Linked DNA regions of Oryctolagus cuniculus. The protein of the gene in region 1 purifies or fractionates together with the protein of each later gene. This does not show direct contact. Links are inferred from orthologs where the notes say so. Each region holds a gene or a part of one and is shown on either strand. Other genes may lie near its edges.

What was found.
Region 2: the proteins of P4HA2 (region 1) and COL1A1 purify together in Homo sapiens (co-immunoprecipitation; 3 studies listed by BioGRID and IntAct, counting the BioPlex papers as one, with this or other methods). This does not show direct contact. The link is inferred for Oryctolagus cuniculus from reciprocal best matches to the Homo sapiens genes P4HA2 and COL1A1.

What each region holds. Positions count from the first base shown.
Region 1 is NC_091437.1:20,767,365-20,771,265, forward strand, and holds the start of P4HA2 (prolyl 4-hydroxylase subunit alpha-2), read right to left. Parts: upstream 2,634-3,901; 5' UTR 2,617-2,633; coding exon 2,535-2,616; intron 1,879-2,534; coding exon 1,782-1,878; intron 1,390-1,781; coding exon 1,238-1,389; intron 1-1,237. UniProt on the Homo sapiens protein: Catalyzes the post-translational formation of 4-hydroxyproline in -Xaa-Pro-Gly- sequences in collagens and other proteins.
Region 2 is NC_091448.1:26,152,161-26,155,961, reverse strand, and holds part of COL1A1 (collagen alpha-1(I) chain), read left to right. Parts: intron 1-4; coding exon 5-112; intron 113-216; coding exon 217-270; intron 271-520; coding exon 521-619; intron 620-785; coding exon 786-839; intron 840-923; coding exon 924-1,022; intron 1,023-1,566; coding exon 1,567-1,620; intron 1,621-1,708; coding exon 1,709-1,762; intron 1,763-1,853; coding exon 1,854-1,907; intron 1,908-2,014; coding exon 2,015-2,068; intron 2,069-2,437; coding exon 2,438-2,482; intron 2,483-2,574; coding exon 2,575-2,673; intron 2,674-2,911; coding exon 2,912-3,019; intron 3,020-3,355; coding exon 3,356-3,463; intron 3,464-3,651; coding exon 3,652-3,705; intron 3,706-3,798; coding exon 3,799-3,801. UniProt on the Homo sapiens protein: Type I collagen is a member of group I collagen (fibrillar forming collagen).

The DNA.
Region 1 (3,901 bases):
GCTGACCTCTCTTTGTGTGGAAAAGAGGAAAGTGTTACAGTGCAGAAAGTCCCATCACAGTAAAGCACCGAACACAGCTAAAAACTTTAAAAAAAATCACTCTGACCAGTAAGAACCACTACTAGGAATTTAGCCTAAAATATTATCAGAGGTAGTCACAAAGAAGCATGTAAAAGACTGCTAACTTGGAAACAATCCCATATCCAGTGGTTTGAGCACCTTTACAGGATATCAGTATATGAGACTACAACAGTGAAGTCACGTGGCTGAAGAACATTTAACGGCAGATGGAGAAGCTGGGAAATTCAGGATGCGAATATATGCTTATGTCATGTTTATTTGTGAAAGATACAAACACAAATGAATTCTGATGATGCGTAGGCTCCCAGCTTGCTGTGGCCCCATCACCAAGCCCAAAAGACTCATTTTTGTTAATTCATTTGTCCCTCAAAGCAGTTACGTTTGCATCCCCTAGTATATATGCATAGTTCCTTTTTTAAGTGTATATGCACATGTAGAAAGACTACAATCATAACAGCACTTATCAATAGGCAATTAGATTAAGAATTATACTTTTCGGGGCCAGATTTGTGGCGTAGCAAGTAAAGCTGCCGCCTGCAGTGCTGGTGGCCCATATGGGCGCCGGTTCAAGTACAGCTGCTCCACTTCCAATCCAGTTCTCTGCTGTGGCCTGGGAAAGCAATGGAAGACAGCCCAAGTCCTTGGGCCCATGAACTTGCGTGGGAGATCCGAAAGAAGCTCCTGGCTTTGACTGGCACAGCTCCAGCCGATGCCGACAACTGCAGAGTGAACCAGCAGATGGAAGACCTCTCTTTCTCTCTCTGCCTCTCCTTCTCTCTCTGACTTTCAAATAAATAAATCTTTAAAAAAAAAAGAATTTTACTTTTCTGAGTTGACTGCTTTTGTGTTTTCCAAATTTTCTGTAACAGTATATATTACTAAAATATAAGTAGAAAAAAATGGTATTACCTAATAGAGGCGGGAAATAAAAACACTATGAAAACCAATTATTTTCAAACATGAAAAAACAAGGACAGGCAATTGCCAGGTCTTCACAGAGAAGGGGGAGAGCGGCGGCCTGACGGGTCCATGGTCACATACTCTACCTGCCCTCACCCCCGACACACACATCCTCAAGGCAGGCTCAGACATAGCTGCCCAGGCACAAGCCTGCAAACAAACAGGCTCCCCTGAACACCTGCTCACTATCCCTCACCTGTGGCTGGGTCTTGCAGCACAAGGTCTTCCAGCGCAGGCCAGTCTGAGTTCAGTCGCTTAACCAGTTTGTAGGCGTTCACAGGATGGGCAAGGTAGCCCTCGGGGTCAGCAGCTGACTTGCTGGTAAGGGCTTCCATCTTGCTTGCCCAGCTATGGAACAGAGGAAGAGGAGGATTAACATTCCAATCCACCCGGTCCTGATCCGCAGAAACTTCCCTAGGGAGATCCAGAACCCTTCTCATCAAGAAGTAGTAAAAAATAAATACAGACGCTCCCTGCAGATACTTCTTTCTGGCCCTTTAATCTAGACAGAGCCAGGAATCCCAATGTCAGTTTCAAAAAAAAAAAAAAGGGTCTTAGAAAGTGAGAAAAAAATGTGACCCTTAGCCTGTATGTTTAGCTCCTCCGGAGTTCTGTCACAAATAACCTCCAGGACTGCATCACATCCCTTCTCAAGGGATTCCCTTAAAGACACCCTGGATGGGGCCCTGGGAGGAGAGGGGCTGACTGAGGGTGGGCGTGGGGACTCGGGCGAGCGGTACCTCTTGATCTTAGAGAGTTTGGCCTCCTCCGCAAGGATGTACTCCTTCAGTGCGTGCACCAGGTCTTTCTCAGCATAGATCAGGTCGGTCATGTGCCCTGCAGGGGAGAGAAGCAGTGCTGATGAGATGTGCATGGGAGATGTACAGCTCCCTTCCTTGGAGCACAGAACACCCTCACAGATGCGAGTTCCCTGGGCCAAGGACATTCAGCTCTCTGGGGATCATGGGAACGTTGAGTTAAAGGGTGCCTAGGCACTCACAGGGTCCTGGCTCCAGCCTTCAGAGAGAGGCAGACAGGATATGGGAATAAATGCACTAGCAGCTACTCAGCTAGAAACTCCCAATCTCATTCTCCCACCGTGAGCCGGCTGGCTTGTCACTGGGCATGCACACGCTAGCATCTCTGAAACTTCAGGTGAGGGAGAGGGGAGGGTGGGAGAGTGCACTCAGAAACTCTAGGTCAGGTTAAATGGTCAGAGACCAGAGAGACCAACTGAAGCCTGCACAAGCCAGGCAGGAGGGCCCAACTTAGGCGGTTAGCTCCTAGGACACCCAAGTTAACCGGAGCTAAGGTGCTGTCCAGGGTGGGTGGGGGGAGGGGGTTGCGGGGAACGTGAACAGCAGCTCTAGAAGCTTTGGTCACAAGCAGTGGGTGACACCAACCCCCCCTCAGTGAGAAACCTGTCAGGCAGGGCCAGCGCCGGCATTTGAGCCGAGGGCTGCTCAGGCAGATGAAAACTTCTCGGCACATACCAATAGAGGTGAAGAATTCAGCCCATGCACAGCTCAGGGCAGCAAACCAGGCCATCAGCAACGTGGACACCCAGGGTTTCATGGTCACTGAGGCAGTATCTGCAGGGCATTCAGTGATATTTATTAGATTTACATAGTGAAAAACAGCATCACGGATCACATGGCACGCACACACACACACACACACATCCATACAGCAATCCTGGCCTGGCACACACATACACACACACACACACACACACATCCATACAGCAATCCTGGCCTGGCATACAGAAGCTATGACAGCTATTTGGGCAAGAACACAAGGCTGTAAACTCTGGCCATTCCTTCTCATTTCCAGACTGCTTCTCTGTTCCTCTCTTACCTCCTGACATATGTGCCAGGTGCTACGGACCCAGTCCCTGCCCACAGGAGGGGGGATAACGCATGAGAAGCTGTGGATGGAAAGAGAACTTGACATGACATTCTCTGGGAAACACAACCCCAGCTAAGGTGTACAGGAGATAGTCAGCAAGAAGAGGAATAAAACTGACCCCTGCCAGTCTGCACCTGCCAAGGAGAGAGCAGTTGGGACACCACACCTGGACAGACACTACTCTTCCTGCTGTGAGGCCTCTCCGCAGGCACTGTCCTCGCTGGCCAGACACCATGTGTTCACAAGTATTTACTGAAGAACCACAGGGGCCAGGCACCGAGCTAGGCACTCGGGACATAAAAATGAATCAGCCGCACAAGGACAAAACCTCAGGCAAGGCTGCTGCTATGGGGGAGAGGCCAGCTGCTGCCTTCTCAAGAACCCAGACATCTCCAGACCCAGCTCTGAGGCAGCAGACACAACCTGGGGCAGGCCCTGCTGGCAGTGGACCTAAGTACACAACAGGAGCTTCAGACCTCGTCTCCCAACTCAGCTATGCAGACCGGAACGTGCCGGAGGACCAGTACTCATCTGAGCCCCAGCTCTGTAAGCCCTGCCCCTTCCTGCTCCACCCAGCTAAGGCCCACTCGAGTGCTCGAGTGGAAATTTACTCGGAGAAAACAAGGAAAATGAAGGATATACAAGAGCTTCCCAAAAACATCAGCCTCCTCTGACAGAAATTCCAAGTCTGAGTTACTAATGAATGCCCATTCACCGAATTCATTCTGCCATGGTCCACTGGACACAGGGTCACTCCCACTGCTCCTCCTCTCACCCCGTCAGAAGAAACCCCAAGCCGCCAGGATGGGCTCAGAAGCAGCCAACCACAAGGTCACCCTCAAACAGGCTCCTCCTCCACTAAGATGGGAGAGTAAATGAAGGGTGCCAAGGTGCCACGTGTGCACACCCCTGCCAAAGACTGCAGAGCTAGTGCACGCCCGTCACAGGCTAG
Region 2 (3,801 bases), on another chromosome or scaffold:
CCAGGGCCCCACTGGTGTTCAAGGACCCCCTGGCCCTGCTGGCGAGGAAGGAAAGCGAGGAGCCCGAGGTGAACCCGGACCTACTGGCCTGCCCGGACCCCCTGGCGAGCGTGTATGTGCCCCACCCCGTATCGTCCCCAACCCCACCACCGCCTCCTTGCCCACCCCAGTGCCTGTCTGGGTCCGTTAGCTCACGGCCTGCTCTCCCCTCTGCAGGGTGGACCTGGCAGCCGTGGCTTCCCAGGTGCAGATGGCGTGGCTGGCCCCAAGGTAACCTGTGCTCCCTCGCTGGTCACCCCCCACCCCGCCACAGGCACAAGCGCTCCTGCGCGTGAGTGCAGCTGCAGGTGTTGGTGCCTCTTTCCCTTCCACTGGGCCTCACCTCTGCTATGCCTCCCACCCCGAAGCCCACCCAAGCCAGCGCCCACAGCCTTCCTTGTGTAAGGAGGAAGAGGCGCTGGCCATGGTCGCAATGCCCGCACTCAAGCCCCTCGTTTTCCTGTGACTTTTCCCAACCCAGGGTCCCGCTGGTGAACGTGGTGCTCCTGGCCCTGCTGGCCCCAAAGGCTCTCCTGGTGAAGCTGGTCGCCCCGGTGAAGCCGGCCTGCCTGGTGCCAAGGTGGGCCCCCAGCTCTGCCGCCCAACTTGGCCAGGCACCCCCTGGCCTGTTGGGGCATGGGTCTGGGATGAGGCTTTCTGGAGCAGGCCATGGGTCTGCTCCTGGGGCTACCCCCCACCATCCCCTTCTCCCCCTACTCACACTTCTGTTTTTCCCCCACACCCAGGGTCTCACTGGAAGCCCTGGCAGCCCTGGTCCTGATGGCAAAACTGGCCCCCCTGTAAGTATCCCTCCCCGTGAGCCCTCTCCCACCTTCCCGTCTGCCACCCCTGTCCCCATCTGACTTTGTGCCTCCCATCTTCAGGGTCCCGCTGGTCAAGACGGTCGCCCCGGACCCCCAGGCCCCCCTGGTGCCCGTGGTCAGGCTGGTGTGATGGGATTCCCTGGACCCAAAGGTGCCGCTGTGAGTATTGAGTAGGGAGCAACTCGGGGCTTGGGACAAGCACGCCTGGCCGGTGAGAGTCCCAGGCTCTGGCCCAGCCCTGCTGCTGACTTGCTGTGTGGCCTCACACTGCTCACTGCCCCTTCCTGGGCCTTGAGCACCTTATCAGTAAAATAAAGGACTTCCGGCTTCCCAGCCATTGCTCTGTGCCTGGAACTAAGTTTTGTGGGTGCCCCCGGCCCCACTCCCCAAATCTTGGAGGGTTTATTGAGGTTCAAAGAAGGCACCAATGGAGGAGAAACCCTTGGCAGCTGAGGCCACAGTGCGCACGGAGCAGGGGGAAGGGAGGAGGGAGGGTGGAGGGAGCAGGGCTTGCAAGGCCTCTGTGATTGTGGGGAGGGGCTGAGGGCCTCAGGCCTAAACTGCATGTGCACAGCCAACAGCCACCCGACTTTGGAGAAGGAGGTCCCTTTTAGAAACTCCTCCTCAGAGCAAGTAGGAGGCACCTGTGGGGCCTTCCGGTCTCCCTTCAGCCTCCTCAGCCTGCCCGCCCTTTCCTCCCCAGGGAGAGCCCGGCAAAGCTGGAGAGAGAGGCGTTCCTGGACCCCCTGGCGCTGTGGTAAGCAGCCCCTTCCTACCCCGCGCCCCTTCCTCCAGCTGCCCACTGGGCCTGCCACCCTGAGCACTCCCTTCCTGCCTCCCCACAGGGTCCTGCTGGCAAAGACGGAGAAGCTGGAGCTCAGGGACCCCCTGGACCTGCTGTAAGTGGCCCTGCCTGGGAGGCCTGAGGCGGCGCCCCCTGTCCCCTGCCCCGTCCGCCTTTCTGTGACCACAGCTGTCTCTCTGTGACAGGGCCCCGCTGGAGAGAGAGGTGAACAAGGCCCTGCTGGCTCCCCTGGATTCCAGGTGAGGCGGCAGTCAGGGAGCTGGGGGCTGGAGAAGGCGGGGACACCACTTTGTCCTCTCCAGATTCTGAAGCCCCTCCTCTTTCTCCCCCCACTGCTCACTTGCAGGGTCTCCCTGGCCCCGCTGGTCCTCCTGGGGAAGCAGGCAAACCTGGCGAACAGGTAAGAGGGAGCCGTTGGCCGAAAGGGTGTGTGGGCAAGGAAGGGAATGCAGAGGGCCAGGCACCTGCTGCAAGCTATTCAGACACTGTTGGGATGAAGGTTAGACACGGGGAGGGACTTCCTCGGAAAGGGAAACAGGAAGTGTCACGATGTGACCTGGGGTTGCAGAGCTGCCCGTCTGGGTGACTTTGAGGAGCTATAGGACGCTGTGGCTCCCCCTCCCCCTGGCCTGGGGAGGACAGCTCTCAGTGCAGAGTCGGAAGGAGTGGAAGGGCTGCGGGGCTGATTGTGCAAGGGCCAGCCCCAGAAGCAGGGACAAGAATCCATCCTGTGCCTAGGGCTCACTCTTTGGTCTTCCCTCTCCTTCAGGGTGTTCCTGGAGACCTTGGTGCCCCCGGCCCCTCTGGAGCACGAGTAAGTAGACGCTGTGCCCCTGCTCCCAGCCAGATGCCCTGTGGCTGTCTCTGAGCCTGGAGCAGCCGTCACGCCCTGACTTTCCCTTCTAGGGCGAGAGAGGCTTCCCTGGTGAGCGTGGCGTGCAAGGTCCTCCTGGTCCCGCTGGCCCCCGCGGATCCAACGGTGCTCCTGGCAACGATGGTGCTAAGGTGAGGGCAGCCCAGGGAGCAGAGCTCACCCCTCCTGTGGCAGGAGCATGATGGCCAGGGAGATGCTGGGGGAGCAGGTGGGGGGCTCCCAGGCAGCCCGAAGTCAGGGTTGTGAATCTTCCTTCTTCACCCAGGCCCAAGCCTGGGTGATTCCAAGAGGAAGCCCAGGACTGTGAGCCACTTCCGGGACCACCACCTCCACCCTGGCCTCATTGCAGTCTTCTTGGTTGTCACACAGGGTGATGCTGGTGCCCCTGGAGCTCCCGGTAGCCAAGGCGCCCCTGGCCTTCAGGGAATGCCCGGTGAACGTGGTGCAGCTGGTCTTCCAGGCCCCAAGGGTGACAGAGTAAGTACAGGAGCCCCCTCCAGCTCTCTCCCTGCTTTGGATCCTTCAGTGTCTTTCCATGGCTCCCTGGGACACTTCTCTCTTCTCCTTCCTCCTCCCTTCTCTGTCTTCTCCACTGTGGTCCAGGCCCTTCTCTCTAGGAGTTACCATGGTGATGAGAGGTGGAGCCAGCTCCTTGATGGAGCCCTCTATGCAAGACAGAGGCCTCTTAGCCTAGGTGTCAGCCGGCTCTCCGAGCAGGCACCTCTTCACCTGAAAATCCTTGGAACGGGGAAGATGAGACACAAGCAGGACACTTGCCACCCCTGGAAGTCTCAGGTCTCTCTTTGTCTTTAGGGCGATGCTGGTCCCAAAGGTGCTGATGGCTCTCCTGGCAAAGATGGCGTTCGCGGCCTGACTGGCCCCATTGGTCCTCCTGGCCCTGCTGGTGCCCCTGGTGACAAGGTAAGGTGGCTGCCTGCCTACACACAGCTTCTCCAGCGAGCTCTGCATTGGAGACGGGTCTGCCATATTGAGCTGGCGACCCAGGAAGCTGGAGGGACCAGAAGCGGGGGAGGCCGTTCTGGGGTCATCTGTCAGGAGTAAGTCAAGGTGGGCCCCCTGACCCTGAGCCTCTTGTCCTTCCCTCTCAGGGTGAAACTGGTCCCAGCGGCCCTGCTGGTCCCACTGGAGCTCGTGGTGCCCCTGTAAGTACAGAAGGCCTGGCCGATGCCCCCTCTGCTCCCTCCATCCTGCACCTGTTATCGTGGCATCTCTCCAATCTGCCTCTTTCCTTTTAGGGA